2 linked regions of the Struthio camelus genome follow. The protein of the gene in region 1 purifies or fractionates together with the protein of each later gene. This does not show direct contact. Links are inferred from orthologs where the notes say so. Each region holds a gene or a part of one and is shown in the gene's direction. Other genes may lie near its edges. The genes, in order: DHX15 and SNRPA1.

Evidence for each region.
Region 2: the proteins of DHX15 (region 1) and SNRPA1 fractionate together in Homo sapiens (co-fractionation; 3 studies listed by BioGRID and IntAct, with this or other methods). This does not show direct contact. The link is inferred for Struthio camelus from reciprocal best matches to the Homo sapiens genes DHX15 and SNRPA1.

Annotation. Positions count from the first base shown.
Region 1 is NC_090945.1:67,271,712-67,281,586, forward strand, and holds the start of DHX15 (ATP-dependent RNA helicase DHX15), read left to right. Parts: upstream 1-5,839; 5' UTR 5,840-6,112; coding exon 6,113-6,180; intron 6,181-9,875.
Region 2 is NC_090953.1:4,274,046-4,283,131, forward strand, and holds the start of SNRPA1 (U2 small nuclear ribonucleoprotein A'), read left to right. Parts: upstream 1-5,302; 5' UTR 5,303-5,382; coding exon 5,383-5,464; intron 5,465-6,437; coding exon 6,438-6,585; intron 6,586-7,111; coding exon 7,112-7,190; intron 7,191-8,102; coding exon 8,103-8,149; intron 8,150-8,890; coding exon 8,891-8,993; intron 8,994-9,086. UniProt on the Homo sapiens protein: Involved in pre-mRNA splicing as component of the spliceosome. Associated with sn-RNP U2, where it contributes to the binding of stem loop IV of U2 snRNA.

The DNA of each region.
Region 1 (9,875 bases):
CTTGGCCCAGCTGGGCAAGCTATGGAAGTTGCTGTTTATAGTTTGCTACATCGTGTTTCTAGGATATGATGGATTTTTATTCTGTATGGTTCTCTACTGCTACTATTTTGTTATATAGTCTGGGGCTTATTATGAAGATAAGGACTAGCTGTTAACACTTTGTACATTAATAACCCATCAAGTAGAGGTTATTACGTCACCTATTTCGCACCTCAGGAGCTTTTGTGATTTTTACTTTTTGGAACTTTGTATATTCTATACAGGCAATAGAAACTAAGCCAATAACAAGTGTCTTACACTTACACATATACTCAGCGTGAAGCTGTACCACTGGTAGATCCAGCATGCCTAACCTTACGCATGGATATGAGTGTTTTATAGACTGTATTAAAAGAGAGGACTTTTAAAAAGTCTTAAGGAGCTAACTCAATAGTGAATAAAAGATGATTGTACTGAATACAAAAGGAATGAAAAGTATATACCAAGATAATGCATTTTTTCCCTTTGTGGACATGAAATACTTGCAAAGAAAAAGCAAGAAAGAATCAAACTTTCACAAAAGAAGTGCTCCTACCAAAACATGTAAATTCAATGTAGAATCAATGTAAATTAGATATATAATCTAGTTTACTCAGTGATGATATTTTGCGTTTATGCCATCACTTCAGCTTAAATTCAGAGTGCTTAAAATTCAAAGTACTTAACAAACATCTACTCTTGCAAGGTTTCTTTGAGTGGACTAAAGGTGACCTAAGGTCTTAGCAAATGACTGAGAGCGGTAGGATAGCAGGCAGTTGTAGGCAACAATATCTTTCCTTTTAGAGAATGGGTTTTTTTTTTCAAAAGTGAATTGTCCCTCCGGTTGAAGTTCTAAGAGATACAGCTACTTTTAAAAACACTTCTTAAATAACATTAGAGAATGTGCACTTTATAGTTCAGGCTGCAGGGAAGGGCGGGTTAAAATTCAGCATTTTACTTTCTTATGTCTTTACTTGGTGGTGTCTCTTTCTGTTGCACCCATCCAGTGCACAGTCTTAATTTTCTCAGAAGACTTCAGGTACTTGGTTACATTTTTTCTCTTTGTAATGCTACCCAACTAAGATAGAGGGGATGCCATTGGGCTGGTGACCTGGCATCTATCCCTTTATGAAGAGATGCATATTCCTCCTTGGTGAATGAGGTATGGTAGCTTACCTGAGTCATTTGCTTCTGGTGTTTAAGGTAGCTTTGATAGCCGGAAGTGATTTTTCCCATCTGTGCTTGCACAGTGATTGCAAACTCTCTCTCTTTTTTTTCCTTCTTTGTGAAACACTACTAAAATCATCCTGACCTTTTTGACCTCCAAACTGAATTGATGTGATGTGTTCTATATGGGATGATGTTTGATGACCGTTCACAAATTTCAGACAGTATCTTACTGCTGATAAAGTCAGCTGTCATGGCAGTGCTGCTAGCTTCCTAAAGTGTACTTCTCAGAGTAATTCAAAGTTGATTTATATATATTTGAAGTGTTGCAAAGTTTAGTTTCTGTAATTACATAGAAGCTACCTCTTTTCTTCACTGCAGAAACTGAGATCATTTGATGTATTCATTTTCATATTTTTAAATTTGAAAAATTTGGAAGTCTGAGGTCTTTAAACATACTCTGATTATGGGCTCTTGTCTGAAGTATTCTTCTGCTGATATGACAGAACCTAAGGATAAGCTCCATTTACTCACATTAGGCTTGGGTGGGGGGAGGGCAGAAGAAGAGCTTGTCTGTAATGGGTGTTTGTATTTAAGGCTCCTGGGTATTTTACTAGGGGCGTTACCCATGTATATATTTATTTTTTAAAGCAGATTGCAGTGACAATTATCAGGACTACTTCCAGGTTTAATATTTTAAAATTAGTTTGCAGGAACTTCTTTAATATTATGTGTTATAGATTTTTTAAAAGATGGGTTAGGCTTTTAGTTGTTTTTAAAAAGCAAACCATAAATAAAAGTACTGGCAGAGTAAGTGCTGCTATAGCATAGGGAGCGTACAGCCTGTAGCTTTGAGCCTACCTCCAGCCAGCCATACAAGAAATATATACTGCAGAGGTTGTAGGGGTCTAACACTCAAGCTTTAGCAGACTGAACCTCCCTTAGCTGTCTGCCCTGCGATCCTGCTCGTTACTACTGCCAGCATTGCAGCAGCGAAAGAATAAGATGTGTGGATTCACTTCAGTTGCCTGTTTTGGCTTAAACCACTGAGGAAGGTATATTTCTACTGAAATGCTAGACTGGATATATCATATTTTCCTGCCCTTTGTAGACTTGGCAATCTCTAGCAAATGAGTGAAACAATTAGCTAGCGGCAGTAATATCTGAAATTGTGACACCTAAATCTGCCACACTTCTCTGTCAGAAACCGCACTGGTTCCAAAGTAGGTCTCTGATATAAAGCTTGTCTAAGACTCACGATTAGTCTTCCGGGGTGAACGCAATGCACAATCAGAATAATATAATATTTTAGAGATAACATTATTTTCCTAAGTCACTGTATCAGTTTTAGACGTTAATGCTCCTTCCAACCCAAATAGCACAGTAAGTATGCCCACGCTCAAAGCACTCTTCTCACTGGAAATTGCCTAAGAAGATTTTGATACCAAGGAGCATGCATTGTTTAGCTAGGGTAATAGATGGAGAGTTAAAGAATAAATGGTCAAATGGCAACTAATATAAGCATCTCTTGTTTCAGTAATCTAAGATTTTCATTCTTATAGATGAATATGAAAGACTTCTCAGGGAAAAAAAAACAAACTTGCATTTAACAAATGCCTTTGAAAAGGCAGAAAATGTGCTTAAATGTGCCCTATTTTACACATTCCTTTCATCCTTTAGGAATTTAATGCTTATCACTTTGTCATTATGTGTTTCCTGATCATTTTTTTTCCTACTGTCTCATCTTATATTTAGACTGTGATCCTGTAAACACTTACCTACATGCTTAATTTTGCTACTCTTAGTAATCTCTTTGAAGTCAAAAGGATTATTTGCATTAGTAAAATAAGGCATGTGTGTGCTTGCAGGATGAAGGCCTTAGATTGCAAACTCTTTGGGATAAGACCAGATTATTTATTATGCAGTCATACAGCTCAAAGCACAGTTGAGTGGAGGTTCTGTTCAGGTAGCTTGGAAATACGTTAATACATAGATAATTAGTACGTGGGATATCAGCCTGGGCATAGCAGTCTAGTATTTGCTGACCCCAGCTGACACACTGGATCTTTCTCCCTTCTTTTTGCACTTGCTGGGGAGATTCGGCCACAAGATCATTTTCAGGCTGTCATATCTGCTGAGACTTCCTCTTGTACCGCCTTCTAAAGCAGAATCTTGCCCTGGTGTTGGCAGCGTGGTAACTTGCAGCAACACCTTGAGTGGCTTTATGCTGCTGTTCATAGGGAGATGCTGTGCATAATCAAGATGTGGAAGAGTTGCTGTCTTCCGAGAACCACATAGCGCTGCACAGTGGTAGCTGCTCATCCCATCTAATACATATAATGCTTTCCTCTTCCTCTCTTTTTCCATTTTCCAGGGAGACACAGCCACTGCATTGTTTTTTGGCTCCCTTCTCTGATAAGCTAATTGTCTTCTCCTCGGACACTCTATCTCAGTAATCGTTTGTTTAAGACAGCCATCATTTAAAAGCCACTTTGTGAGATGTGTAGAAAGCCTTCCCTAGCTGCATTCTGTGAACACAGCTCTGTATTCTACCAGAGCACCTCAGATAATCTTGATATTTGGGATAGAGACTACTGTAATACTTATCCTCTGGCAGCCTCTAAAATAGGTTCCTCTTTCATTTTTTTGTAATGTAACTTGGAAAATGACTCCTGGCTTTGCACGCAAAACTCGAGATCAAGGTCCAAGAAATATTTATTTCAGTTGATAATGCTAAGCAGGAAAATGGTATTTTCATTATAGTGGTCTCTAGAACTCTAGCAGAGATCAGGATACCATTTTGTCATATTATCCAAAATTAGGAACAGGAATGCTCTTCTACTAAAGAATATACGGCAAGAACTAACTATTTTAGTAGTTATTCTGATAGAACTCCAGAAAATCTTCGGGACATGAAGCTATGGATAAACATTCCCTTGCTGAGCTAGCTGTACTACTAGGTCACTGCTGCTGGATGCTCCTTTCTGACCACTGCCAGGTTTGCTAGCAGAGCTGTTATGTGAATGCTCCCTTGCCCTCATAGTCAGATAGCGTTAACAAAGATTTAGTATTTAAAATATCTGAACTATTCTGACTGCTTTTGACCAAAATGACTGGGGAGTGCTCATGCAAGTAGTTCAGTAATGGTTGTAGTAATCTCTGGCAAGAAGGTTGTGAAGGGCAACGGGGAGCAAGACTTGCAAAGCACATGTCTTTCAACACTTGTCTAGGTGGAAAGCTATACCAATAGCAGTGCTTTCAAACTGCATCTTAAAACTACTACTGATCTAAAATATGAAGTTAAATCTCTAGGAAGGTGCTGGGGGAGCGTGAGATAGGGCAGGACGAGTGGAGATGGTGTCCAGCAAGTGATGTTATCTCTAGATAGTGACTGGATATATCAAGAATTGTACCTCTTAACGAAGCTAGAGTTAAGAAGTTAGAGATGGGCTTTTATGAGCTATGGTAAAGTATCAAGGGACTGCACTTGAAAGCTGCTGAGACCTAGCGCTGAGATAGAGCAGGAATGGCTTGAAGGAAGTGGGTGTGTGGGAGCAGAGGTGGGTCAGTCAAGCACTGAGTGTGCTTCTACCAGCATGGGGGCAGCCTGCTTTCTGATGCCTTGGTTGTTACAGGCCTCTCAATGTTTGCCTGACTCCACCTTCTCCTGCCCAGGCTCATCTGTGCCTGCAGTTAGAGTACAAATTCTGTATGTGTGGATGGTTAACCCAGTTCTTAAAAAGTGTGTGTGCAGGCTAGCAGGTGAGGAACACAGTTCAGGGGCACAAGAAACAAGTCTCTTGGAGCAGGCCTGAGCTACAGGCTTCTGCTGGCACTTCTGCCAGTGAAAAGTAATCATTACAGCTACGTGCAAAAATCTGTAACTATACCGAGAAAATAGCATTTTCACTCGTGTGTTATTTTGGTTTTAGGATTTGTTCTACTAAATGCCAGTGTAGCTGTGCTCACCCTTAGAAAACTTTGTCACAGCAGACAGGTCCTCTGGGGTTTGTATTGCAAACATGGGATTTCCTTGTACTGTATCTTCTTGCACAGACACCAAAGACAAAGCACAAGAGAAAGTGGCAGAAACTAGCAACTCTGTTTCTGGGTCTCTGAATGGCACTTGGACTTTTCTCCCAAAACATACTTCTAGTAATACCTACCTTTGATGTCTGAGTAGTTAAAGATGTGAAGTAGTAAATAGTATGTGCTTTTATAGCTTGCAGTTTAGATGCCACCGGTTTTCTAATCATTTCTGCTACTGCAGATGGCATGTGAAGGATCATACTCTTCCCCACCCAATGCTAGGGAAGTCTGTGGCAGCCTAAAATAGGTGTTTGCCAATACAGTTATCTGGTTTAAACACCCTCCCGGGAAACGCCTGTCCCAGGGCACGCGCGCCCACAGGGGCACGACCGGCTGGGAAACGAGTTTTGCTCTCAGGGCATCAGCAGCAGCACCCGGGCTGCCGGACCCTAACAGGGCGCTGGAGCCGCTCTGATGAGCTAGGGAAGGCGCCTGGGCCGCCCAGGCAACGCTCTCCGCCGTTTCACCGGCAGCGGGGAGGCCGGACGCCGCTCGCAGCGCCGAGCCGCGGCCGTTGCCCCGCGGCAGCCGTTAGAGCGCCGCGGCCGGGGGCGGGGGTGGGGCCGGGGCGGCCGTTGCAGGCGGACCCGCCGCGCGCGCGCCCGCGCCCGCCCCGCCCTCTCCCTTTCCGCGGGCGCGCGGCGGCTCGCGCCAGTGTCTCGCGCAGCCCCGGCGCTTCCTTCCGGCCGCCATTTTAGTTGGTGTGCCTGGCCTCGCGGCGCCGCCGCTGCTGCTGCTCGAGGAGCGGAGAGCGCCCCGCCGCACCCAGCCCCGGCCGCCCTCCCGCCGCATCGCGCGGCCGCCCGCCCGCCCGTTCCTCCGGCCGGCCGCCGCCGCCATGTCCAAGCGCCACCGCCTAGACCTGGGAGACGACTACACCTCCAGCAAGAAACGCGCCGCCGACGGGTGAGGGACGGCGAGGCCCGGGCCGCGCGGCCTGCGGCGGGTGGGAGATTACGGCGGCTCCCGCGTAATCGTCTGCCCGTCCTCGGCTCTGGCCGTTCCCCGCGGGGCTGGGCCGCCTCGGGTCGCGGGGCGGCCGCGGTGGGAGGTGGAAGGAGGGGTTGAGGCAGCGGAGGCCGCATGGCGGACCCCCCGCGCCGCCGCCTCGTCTGGGCAGGCCCGGGAGCCTCGGCGGCTCCCTCTGAGCTCTGGCCCTAGGCCCAGGGTCGGCCTTTCTGGCGGGACCGGGCCCCTCGGCGGGACGGGGGGGCGGATGGCGGCAGGGTGATGGCAGGGAGCGGGCGGGGAGGGCCTCGTGCGGCGGTGCTGGGAGGGGGAAAGAGAGGAAGCCGCAGGCCTAGCCGCTTGGGCGAGCTGGGTTGGGCTCGCGTCGCGGCGGAGCCGGGGGCGGCGCGCTGCTCGGCCCGCTCCCCAGCGCCCGGCTTTGTGTGCGCCTCTTTCATCTCTCCTCCTTTCTCTGTTTCTCTGTTTTTTTTTTTTTCGTATGTCTCACCCTCTTTCCCTCCCTCTGCCCCTGTTTGTTTGTATCCTCCCGTCTGTGGCTTGAGGGGTCTGGCCAGTCTGGTCCTAGAGGTCAGCGTGAGGCTTGTTCAGCCTGTGTAACTAGTACCTAAGCTGGCAGAAACATTATTCCTTTGTTAACAGCTTTAACTCAGTAACCAACAGGTGAATGGCAGATTTAAACTAAAAGTCGGTGTGGGGTGGGTTTTTTGGGGAGGAGGGAAAGGAAGTTATAACTCCCTCCCCTAAACTGCAGGAACTCGAACAGTGGGCTCGTGCTGTCCTTTCGTACACAGTGGTTTCAGTGCCTCCACTGAATCTCCTTTTGCCCCACTTCTGTGGGGGACTCTTAAAACAGACTTCTGGAATGTAAAGGGCCAGAAAAAAGTATTCTGTTTTATCTGTCTGTTCTTTTGGTGGTGCCCAGAAGACTTTCCTGAATTAATTCTTTCCTAAAGTCCAGCATCATTGTTTTGGGCTATGACATTTATCCTAGAAAAATAAATGCCTTACATTGTTTACAAAACTGGTGATTGTTAAAAATCAGCCACAGCAGTTAGTGTTCATTGATAAACTGTCTTTGCTGTTGAAATAGAACTTGCATTTTCTTTAAGTGTGAACTTGAGTAGCTTGAATTTTTAGCTACTAGAGTTTGATATATTTTCATCAGCTAAAGTGAAGTGATTGTTTTTATTGAACATCTGTTTATGTATGTAGGATCACCATAATCTATTTTTTTTTTAATGAAATGGATTGAGCAGCTTACCTCAAGGTGTGTTCCCCTGATTTTTCAAAAGCTAGTATAGCTCTTTGTGCATGCAGAGAGTCATACATATACAGTTTTTTTGTATATACAGATTTTTGTAACATCTTGAAATGGTGACGCCAAAACTTGGCATAATTTGAACCTAGTACAATTGATATTGTTGTGTAGATGATCGTTATTAGTGTTTCCTAGTTTGTATGTTGTAGGGTTGTGGGTTTTGGTTTTTTGTTTTTTGTTTTATTTTTGGTACTATTTTTATTGAGTATCACTATCACTCTGAAGCCATAGTCTTCCCATTTGGTATATGCTATAATTGGTTCCCAGCAGTGGTATAACTTTTTTACCACAAGTGTTTGATCTTTATTACACCTTTAAAAAAAAAAAAAACCCTATATAAGCTCTGGTTTTGTGCTCCTTTTGCCAACAAAAGCATTAAATGGCATGAGACCAAGAACCAGTTGCTATAAGCAGAATTATTGAGTATGATTATTACTTGAGATCTTAATTCATCTAACACATGCCATACTAATCTTACATTGTCCTGATTTATCCATAGGGTTGTTAAGTTTTACAGGTTATAGAGGGCTAAGGGATATGCAGAGAGTTTCTTGTTAATAGCATGTATTTACATATCTTCTGTGCAGAGAGCACCTTTATGCAATGTAGTTGATTTTAGAACTGGATTAAGCTAAATTTGAAGTGGCATGTATTCAGGGAGCTAATACAGAAATAGTGATTGTACCTTACTGACTATCTAACTGTAATCTAAATATTGTATCAAGATACCCTGTATTTTTTTACCTCCTTTTTAATTGAGGTCACGTACTAATATGTGCACTTTTGCATGGGAGTGCTGTCAGGCCAATAGGCTTGTAGTCGCCCATGTAAACTTCTTGAGTATGGGCGCAATATCTATTTTCTTTCAGCCTTTATGTATCACTGTTGAACAAAAAAAACTTCTTGAAATATGTGAATTGTATGGGAAGTCTCTGGTTACAATGTTGCTATGTAAAGTATGTTAGTGTCTAAATCTGCTAATTTTTTTCTAAGCTACTTCAGTAGCTGCATAATATCAGAGTGCTTGTGTGAGTGGGATGTATCACTCTGACTTACTATACCTTCTGTTTTCATACATACAGAACAGAATTTCTCTTTTAACTCTGTTTTTTTTTTTTTTTTGGATGAACTGCAGACTTTTGCAAGTGTCTTTTTAGTAATGAAAGAATAATAGTAATGTTCTATTAGAAATGTTTAGGCTATTTAACAGTGATTTGTGGTTTCACCTTATGTCCTGTGTTTCTCTTTTTGGTTTAAGTGCTTTTCATCTTATGACTTAGTGACTGTTATGTTTCTTTTGTATCTGTATGTATATGTATGTATTAAATATGTGAAAGCTGATAGGTGAGACTGCTTACAAAAAAAATTGGTTATGGAATTGGAGTTTGTGAGCAAGATGAATTAGATTAAATCAAAATCAGGCTTCTCTAAGATGATGAAGAGTAAGTTAAACGTGACCGTTCTTAAATGAAGAATTATCAAGTTGCATTTTACAGGAGGTTCAGTAAGTTCATATGACACCTTAACATGTCCAGTATATATCTCACCAAAGTCTGAGTGATCACTCCTCAAAAGATATGAGCTAGAATTCAGTTTTGTACTTTAGTCATTAAAATGCTCATCTGGAAGCACTCTTTCACTTACTTCGAACTTGTCAGTGATGAGGAAGCAGGCAGCATCTTTTTGGAACAGAACATCATTCCCCTTTTCCATGGTTGATCCCAGAAGTCTGGATGTGTCTGCCAAGTTTTAGTAATACCAAGAGGAGATTGGGAAGCCCTTTTAGGATAAAAAGTGCTGCTGTAGAACAAACCAATAAATGACCAATGAATGTTAGAGAGTAAATTTGAGGGCATGTTGTATGTCATGTTTTTCTGTGCTGACATGTAGTTGCCACATTTCTATCTTTCTTAAACCTTTTTGAAACAATAAAGAAAAAACAACTCCCTTGGTTAACCTCTAATTAGAGTTTTTGCCTTCTGAGATGTAAATAAAACTTGATAAGTTTGTTTTCTTAAATGCGGGATTGGGCAGCTGTAAGTTAAATGAAGTAACAGAAATGGAGGATTAACAAGACTTTCAATTCTGGATCATATTTGTAGTTTATTTACTGCAGCTCAGTGTTCTTGAGATAATATCTATACTTTAAACCCACACAAGTCACTGCCATCACAAAAGACGACAGGGCTGCCCCCTCTCTTTTCATGCTGTAAGCTTGTGGGAGATTAGATTAGAGAACTGATCTATATTAGAATTAGTTTTAGTGGAGATGGACTAGGAAGGGCTTGTTTTCTACAGGGCCACTGAAGTGCTG
Region 2 (9,086 bases), on another chromosome or scaffold:
CTGAAAGTGGCTCATACCCTGAAAGATTAAGTCCTAAAAGGCACCAAACAAGCGGTGATATTAACACTCTCAAACGCCCCTTGTGAGTGGGGACCAATGCATGATCCATGTACCCGAGCTCGGTTCTTCGCAGAAACCCTACTGATTTGCCCGTTCAGAGTGGCTGGCAGGCGCCCACGCTGCAAAGGATGCAAGACTTCACACGTCTGCGAAGGAAGAGCCTTTTCTGGTTCGACTCTCAGTAGCCTTTTCTGCTAGGTGACAACTGATACAAATCCGCATTACCAAAAGCCAGCGCGCCGTGTTCTGTACATATGTAAAACGATGAATTGGGTAGTCTGCCCGAGCGGTGCTCTGAAGGCAGCTCTGGCACCCCTTTTCAGATTCAGTCGTTAGCTGTTTCTCTCTGGCCACGAGCATGGCGATAGCTGGAGATTTGAGGACCGAAGCAAGAGCTGATCTAAATGACTTTGCAGGCCTGTTAGCCCAGCGAGTCCATCGGGGCTTTGCTCAGCGTGCTATTGCACACAGGCGAAACCCCTGTGCCTACACAGAGTCCTGTGGACTCGGGGGGGTTCGTCCACATGGATCAGCCTGTGGGATCCCAGCCTTATCACTAAATGTATTTCCCTTCTGAAACTGCTAGTAAGCTGTTGATAGATTAAGTTCTGAAATGAGCTAGATCCTTCCTCTTTGAGCTAAGTGAGATGGTTTCTTAATTAATATCTTCCAGTATTTTGTATTATGATCCTTCCTGTATTTTTGGTGGGAATACTCGTCTCCCTCAAAAAATCCTCGTATTCATGGCAGTGATTTTTCTTGAGCATCTGTTTCCGAAAGGAGATATTCCAGGGATCCAGCCAGGAAACTCTAAATTCTACAAAACCCTCTCACAAAACAAACCTTTTCATGCTCTCTCTTAATAGTACATCATGTGGTGTTTATATAATTGTGTTTAAAATATCCTTGGCTATGTTGTTTTACAGATTTTTTAAAAAATAACTTATACAATCCTTGTTTTTCTCTGTAGATTATTTTTTGTATGGGGAGTGGGGAATCTTTTGTCTTACGTCCTTCTGCTCTTTCCAGCCTCTCTCCAACCTTGCAGAGATGCTCTTTTCACTAGACATATGTAAACAATTATTTCCTCTGCTGCATGACCTGATTTTCATTGTTAATAGTTTTAACAAGTTAAACCTTTTGCCAGTGAAATTCACAGTACAAACTATCACCAGTTCCTTATGGAGCTGGGATAATCCCTGCTTGGTTTTGGTTGCAACGATACGCACCCTGCCTGGGCTTGCCCACTAGAGCTTATCTCGGCCAGGTGAAGAGGGGAGAGCCAAACTGTCATCGGTCCTAACCCGAGTGGACCAGAACCAAGTAAAGATGGAGCTTTGGTGAACCGACCTTTAAGTTAATAAACTATTGATCTCCCCTTACAAAGGAATCTGTGCTTTTTCCAAATTCAGCGCAGCCACCACCCTGACCAGAGGCAGGTGAAGGCTGTGACGCACCACGTGTCTTTATTTTACTGGACAAGGAAGCTGTCCTGCTCAGAGCTCCTGATCGGCCCCAGAGCATCTGTGGGCAAGATTGCTTATGAACTGCATCTGCAAAAACTTAGACACGTTTATTCTCATAAAGGTCTTTTACCCTCAGAAGAAATGCACCTCCTGAATGTCCCCCGTAGTCACAGATCTCCAGAGCCCTCAAGTAGTATTGACGCTGTCGTTGCTTCATTATTAGCATTGATATTGCATGATCAGCCCGAGCTCCGCAGCCGCGGAGGGCTGTATCCCGCACGGAGCATCGCAGGCTGTCGGCACAGGCAGTGCTCTGCCTGTGGCTGGCTGCCACAGGGGCTCGCTCCCCTTTCCCACCCATCCGCGGCCCCCGCGAGCCCCCGCCACATCCCTGGTCCCAGCACAGAGCTGGTGCCCTCGGGGCCCACCTTCCCCCTTCCGCTAGTTGGTAAAGGGGAGGCGATGCTGGTGTCAGGGAGTGCAGGGAGCTCTGGAGCCTTTTGTTTGTTGTGTTGGTTTTGCAATGTTTAATCGGGGGCCAGGTGCCCAGGGTAGTCCCTGGGTATCTGGAATCGAGCCTTATAGGTGTGAAGAGAGAAAATAAATGAACCTTCCCCCCACAAGGGAAGGTGCTCTCTGAGCTGTGCTGCTGTGGGCTTGTGTGTCTTCTAGTTCTTCACGTTTATCAGATGATAAGCGTGAACTAATGAGATGGTTTACTGCATATCCTGATTCTTTCTGTTGCTCCAGCATCCCGCTTTTGGTCTTGGGCCAAACCAGAGGTCAGAAGTGGCGTGAAATGCTTCTGGCTTCTGCCATTTAGGCTGTAAAATGAAAAACTTCTAATTCTGTTGCTGTGTCATACAGTCAGAAATGGGAGCTGTGAATGAAGAGTACTGTGTCAGCTTTGGCTTTCAGTTCTCTGGCTCACAGTGGCTGCCTCTAAATACTGTTCCGTGGTATATTTAGATGTACTGAAATGCTAAAAAAAAAGAAAAGAAAAAGAAAAAAGATGTTTACCCTTACATCCTTGGCATAACTTAAAATACATACTGGGTGAAGCAATGCAATTTAAGATGACCGGTCCCCAGCGGTCTCAGCTTTATCCTGCTTCCGCTGCCCTTATGAATCCCAGTCTATGGTGGACAGTGCCAAGAGGACCAAATTCTGCACAGTTTGGCTTACACAACAAAATCAGTTTCCAGTATTTCCCAGGGCATTATCTAACTCCCTCAGAAATCATTCTTGGAAAGTAATAAAATTCAGATTATTTATCCAAGCTATTGCAGTGTTTGCTCAGAGCTATTAAAGTCCCTCTGACATCAGTATGCTCAAAGGATCAAAGTGGCTGTGTCTTCCAGATAAATGCCTATTTAGTCAATTTATTAAAGCACATTTCTCTCTTGTCTCTTGGCACCAGTGACAAATCTATAATAGCTGTTTTCTGGAAAAACCTCTTAGAGTAGCCTGACTCCTCGTTTGCTGTTTGGCTGCGAGGGCGCATCCACAGCCCTCTGCTGTTTCATAGCTAGCAAGTGGGGAACACACATCTTAAAAATCATTGCTTTGACTTTCCATTACAAAGAAGGGGCTTTTAAGAGCTCGTGTACAGCATCTGAAGCCAAGAACCTCTCTGCTCTCCAGCCTATAGCAGCTGCAAGGCTGAGGTGTAATACAGCTACACAGCGCTACGGCAGAAAGGTCCACATTTTGTTTAGCCTTGTCAGAGGCAGGACCTGCTTTTCAGGAGCTTGAATCTGCTTTTAATGAGTGCCTGATATGACTCAAGACTGTGCTGTCTTTACCACTGCGTGATTCCTGAGTCACCTACCACAAGTGCCACTAATTCTTTCTTTCTTCCTATGACATCTCTCTTGCTCTTTCTCTCCGAACGTATTTTGAGGAAATGCAGATGCTATGAACACCTGACTATACGTTCTCCTAAATAGCATCAGTTACAGATAGCAAGGAGGCTGTTTTAAGTAGGGTGCACAGGAGCTGCCTGACCCCAGCCCGAACAGAGCCAGCTCTGACGCCGTAATCAGGGGGAACGAGCCAGGCATCACGCACGGGCTGAGGGTGCCAGAGGCTCCCAAAAGAAGAGCTGGTGTGGTACCAAACGTGACTGCAGCATTTAACCCGCTATCAGATCCCCCGAGTTCACAGAAATGTCACAGCTGGTGAAAAAATCCTTCCCTAGATAGCAAGGGATGCAGAAATCACTCTGCCTCACCTGACTCAGGGAGCCTGGAGGGTCGGAGCGTCCCTGGGGCCGCAGGAGCGGTGGCCGCATGACCGCAGGATTTGGGGTCTGCTCAACCACTTCCCTTCCCGCGCCGCCTTCTCCCGCTGCCAGACGGCGGATTTGATGCAAAGGCCCAGCTCAAAGAGGACTGGCCTGGGGCAGCCGAGACCTGCACCAGACCGCTGGAGTTGGCGCCGCTCGGGAGCGCTAAGCCAGCCCAGCGTCAGGTCGGACCTAGCGGCCCGGGTCACCCTTAGAGCTGCGCCGGCAGCGCTGGGGAACAGCAACCAGGGCGGCGTTTCCGCGAAGGAGAAAGCGCGGGGAAGGCCCCGAGGGTGCAGCAGGCACGCGGCCGGCCCGGGCACCGTCCCCTCATCGCGTAAGAGCAGCCGCCCCGCGTCGGACCAGAGGTCCGGCACTCAGCAACGCGGCAGCTGCCCTCACGGCTCGCTGCACGGGGCCGCAACAAGCAGAGCCCGGGGGCTACCCCAGCTCTTCCTCACCGGTTTCCAAATCCCTAAGGCAGCTAAGGGCAGGATGGGGCGGCGAGGCGTGCAAAGCGCGTTTTGTCTCAAAGGCGAGGGCAGAGCATCCCGCGGGGTGCTCCCAGCCCGACCTGGCTTTGGTGAGAGCAGGAAGGTGCGTGGAAACGCCAGAGCAGCCACAGCGAACGCCGCAGCCCGCAGGCACTTAAGAGCAACCCTGCGTTCAGGAGCGCGGGCTGGTGCTGCCGCTTGGACGGAGGAGAGAAATTACACCCGGCGCTGTAATCAGCGCGGGCCGCTGTCCCGGCTGCTGAGCAGGAAGGGAGCAGCGTACGTTCCCACGAGCGCAGCGCCGCCGGCTAAACACCGAGGCGCCAACTCGGTCCCCGGCGCGAGGCCTGGACCTCCGCCGAGTCACCCCGTGCCCTGAAACGCCAGCCGCCGGGCGGGAAGCTCTGGTGAGCGGCTTCGCGCCGCTTTGGGACGCCGCTGGCCGCGGCGACTCCCCTCTCGCCCAGCAGAGCCAAGCTCCCCGCTCGTCCGGGAAAGCGCCGGGCGCCGCGGCCGGCTGCCCCCCGACTCGGCGTCTGGGGGGACCCCGCAGCTCGGCTGCCCTTCGCCCTGCCCCAAAGGGGAACCAGACCGCCGGGGAGACCGGCCTGCCCCGGGCCTGGCGGGGAGCGGGACCCCGCGGAGGCTTGGGGGAAGGCGGCGGCGGCCGGACATCGCTGGCCCGGGCCGAGGAGGCGCCGACGGGAGCCCGCAGCGGCCCCGGCGGCCAGGGCTGCCCCGCCAGGAGGCGGCGCACGAAGGGCGCTGCGAGCAGAGGGGAGCGCGGGTAAGGACGCGAGGTGCTCAAGGAGACGGGGAAAGGGGGGACGCCGCGGGGGCGCTGAGGAGGCGGCGGGCCGGTGGCTGCCGAGCCCCGCAGGCCTCCCTGCCCCGGCCTCCATCTTGGGGGTGGAGGAGGGGCTGCCCGCTCGCGGGCTCGGCGCTCGGCTGGCGGGGCTGCCCGCTCGCGGGCTCGGCGCTCGGCTGGCGGGGCTGCCCGCTCGCGGGCTCGGCGCTCGGCTGGCGGGGCTGGCGCGCGGGCCGGCGGCGGCGTGGCGGCGGCGGCGGCGGCAGGATGGTGAAGCTCACGGCGGAGCTGATCGAGCAGGCGGCGCAGTACACCAACGCCGTCCGCGACCGCGAGCTCGACCTGCGCGGTGCGCGCCGGGGAGGGGGGGGGGGACCGGGGCCGGGAGGGCCTGGGCCTGGGGGGGCTGCCGGGGCCTACGGCGGGACCGGGGCCTGTAACGGGGCGGGGGGGGGGAGGGGCCTGTCAGGGCCGGCGGTGGCAGGTGCGGCTGGGGGGGTCTGTGGGGGGGAGGCGGCGGGGGCCGTGGGGCGGCGGGGCCCTGACGGCGGGAATCGTCGGGCGGAAGGGCCGCGGGGGCCGTGGGGCCCTAACGGCGGGAGCCGTGGGATGGTGGTGCCGCGGGGGGTGTGGGGCGGAGGGGCCTCGGTGGCAGGGGCTGTGGCGGTGGGGCCTGTGGAGCGGAGGGGCTGTGGAGGCGGGGGCTGTGGAGCAAAGCAACTGCGGGGGGTGTGGGGTGGGGGGCCTCGGTGGTGGGGGCCGCGGGGCAGAGGAACCGCGGGGGGTGTGGGGTGGAGGGGCCTCGGTGGTGGGGGCCGTGGGGCAGAGGAACCGCGGGGGGTGTGGGGTGGAGGGGCCTCGGTGGTGGGGGCCGTGGGGCAGAGGAACCGCGGGGGGTGTGGGGTGGAGGGGCCTCGGTGGCGGGGGCCGTGGGGCAGAGGAACCGCGGGGGGTGTGGGGTGGAGGGGCCTGGGTGGCAGGGGCTGTGGGGCAGAGGAACCGCGGGGGGTGTGGGGCGGAGGGGCCTGGGTGGCAGGGGCTGTGGGGCAGAGGAACCGTGGGGGGTGTGGGGCGGAGGGGCCTGGGTGGCAGGGGCTGTGGGGCAGAGGAACCGTGGGGGGTGTGGGGCGGAGGGGCTGTGGCGGTGGGGGCTGTGGGGCAAAGGAACTGCGGGGGCCGTGGGGCGGAGGGATCATGGGGCGGGAGCCGTGGGACAGAGGGGCTGCAGGGGCGGCGGTGGTGGGGCCATGGGGCAGAGGGACCTTTGCTTTGTTGTGCTGTCCAGATGCCATCTAACCCCTGTCTGACGCTTTCTCCCCAAGGTTATAAAATCCCTGTTATTGAGAACTTGGGTGCCACTTTGGACCAGTTCGATGCAATTGATTTCTCTGACAATGAGATCCGTAAACTGGATGGGTTCCCTCTGTTGAGAAGGCTGAAAACTCTTCTGATGAATAACAACAGAATTTGGTAAGTGGTTGTACTTCAGCCAGATGGGCAGTGGAAAATGCTCTAGGGAAGCAAAGAATCCCGAGTGTGTGTCCATCTTTCAGTGGCGGGTGGTTGTAGAAGACCTGTTTGTTTCAATGAAAGAAATTGGCACCCAACAGCACGGAGTACTCTTGAAGGCCTGTTCAATTTGCCTGCTTCGTGCATTGCAAAAATCTGTCCAAGATCAGTATTCGTCTTTCAGACAGGACAGTAGGAGGTAGAACTTGGAATTTGCCCAGAGCCAGAGACTTGGGAGCTCATTTGTCATCCCTGTGCTTAGGCGATAGCAAAAATAAATCAAGCTGTCCTAGGGAGACTGGGGATACCTGCAAGTGCGTGCATATGTTGCATCTAATGTTTTTATGTTGATGCCAACCCAAACTTCTGATAGTGTCAGACTTGGTTGTTTTAAAATTAGGTACTCTAGATTACAGTCTTTCTATGCGTCTTTGCACTGTTGTTAGTTTCCAACCTTAATAAACCTTTGGTTTCTGTTCTCCCTTAGTCGGATCGGTGAAGGACTTGAACAGGCCTTACCCTGTCTCAGGGAGCTCGTTCTTACCAACAATAACATTGCTGAATTGGTAAGCTATGAGTACTGAACGAATCTTAACAACCTTAAATTATATATGTATGCCATCTTTATAATAACCTTTTTCCTCTATTTAGAAAAATATCATATCATTTTAGTAGTAGTTGTGATGTATTTATTTTACAGAATATGATGTGTGGCATGCAGTGGAACAGTAGTTTCAAAATCTTAGTGGCTTTCCTGTTAAATTAATTGCAGTAATTCTAAAATGGATATGAGATTCTAGGAAGAGCTTTGAGAAAAGAGATTTCATTACTTTGTAATTAAATATTTTTAGCTCTAGTTTTGAACTGAAGAAGGAAAGTTTCTGATTCTCAAAAAAAAAAGTGAAATACTCTTTTAAAACTTATTTCAGGTCACTTATACCAAAGTAGGAATCTCAAGCACAGTATTTCTTACAGTCTCCCTTTGAGTTACATAATAGGTAACAAAGAGCATTCGTGTAACTTCTTTGTAACTGCATTGTTATACTCACAAAAGTTAGGCAGATCTGAGTCTTTTATGTAGAATTTGAACAGAGTTAATAGCTAGTATGTCTGCTTACAGTTTTCTATCTCTTACTTCCGCGTTAAGACTGAAGCTTACTTTGTTGCTGTTTCTTTTCTTTCATATTTTTTGAATGTATGTTTTTCATAGTGGCAGTCAAGACTCTTAAGGGCAGCTGGCTGTCTTAAATTGTGTACAGTGTAATTACTTGAAACATTATTGACTTAGTAGAGTTGTCACATCTAGTAGTACAAATACTCCTCTATTTGCCAGTGTTTTCAAAAAGTAAGCTTGAAATGAATGTGAGGGTTTTTTTTTTTGTCACTGCTTGTGTGTCAGAGTAAAGGCTGCTAAAATTTTAAGGACTTTGTTCTCATTAAATGGATTTAAGGTTTCGTACTGTTTTCCCATTATGTAGGGTGAACTGGATCCATTATCAACTATTAAAACGTTGACTTATCTGAGGTATGTAATCTTGAAAAGAAAAGCTATTCTTTCTGTACTCCCCTATTGGCCTAGCTCTTTATTTCAATCTGGAATGCTCTCCTTTTTCTGGGCTGGAACAGGTTCTTTATGCTTAAAAGTTGAATCAATGAACAGCTTTTCCCCTAGACTTCAGGAATACATGGTATTTCATGAGCAAGACTGTATATTACTGACAGACTGTAAAACGATGAGAAGGAGATGTTACGTTTCTATAAACTGATAGACAAGCACTGCAGTAAACTTCAGCTTTGAAAAAATAAAAACTACAGTTTTAAACTGTTATTACAAGTACTCTAAAATGCAGGTGAGTTTTCAGTGCAAGGACTTTTCAGTGAGTAACATTACATTCAGCATGAGAGACAAAAAGAAAAAAAAAGACCCCCATCTGTCAATCCTACGATTGTTTTATTGATTCGTGTTTAGTTAGGAAGTGTGAGGGATTCATTATTTGTATTTTTAGAGATGTTTTGAGGTTGTTCTTTATGCTCTCCTGCAGCAAAATCCACTTAATTGTTAAAATACTTTAAACCTTTAAGTGCAAGTTTTCACTATAGTTTCCATAATATCAGAGAACACTGTTCCTATGCATATTTAATGACGTTATTTATTGTCTCTTATAGCAGAAGGTACGTTAATGTATTTTAGGTATATTAATAAATTTTAATATAAATAACTTTTATTGTAATAAGAATTTTTTTATAATATTTATTTACTTTGTAGCATTTTAAGGAATCCTGTAACAAATAAGAAGCATTACAGATTGTATGTAATCCACAAAGTTCCTCAGGTCAGAGTGCTGGATTTTCAGAAAGTGAAACTCAAAGTAAGTCTGCTGTCTTCTGATTCGGCACAAGATGAAGACCTTTTTCTTGTTACAGTCTTGAAACTTCAGTGGTAACAATAAGTTTTTTTCCCA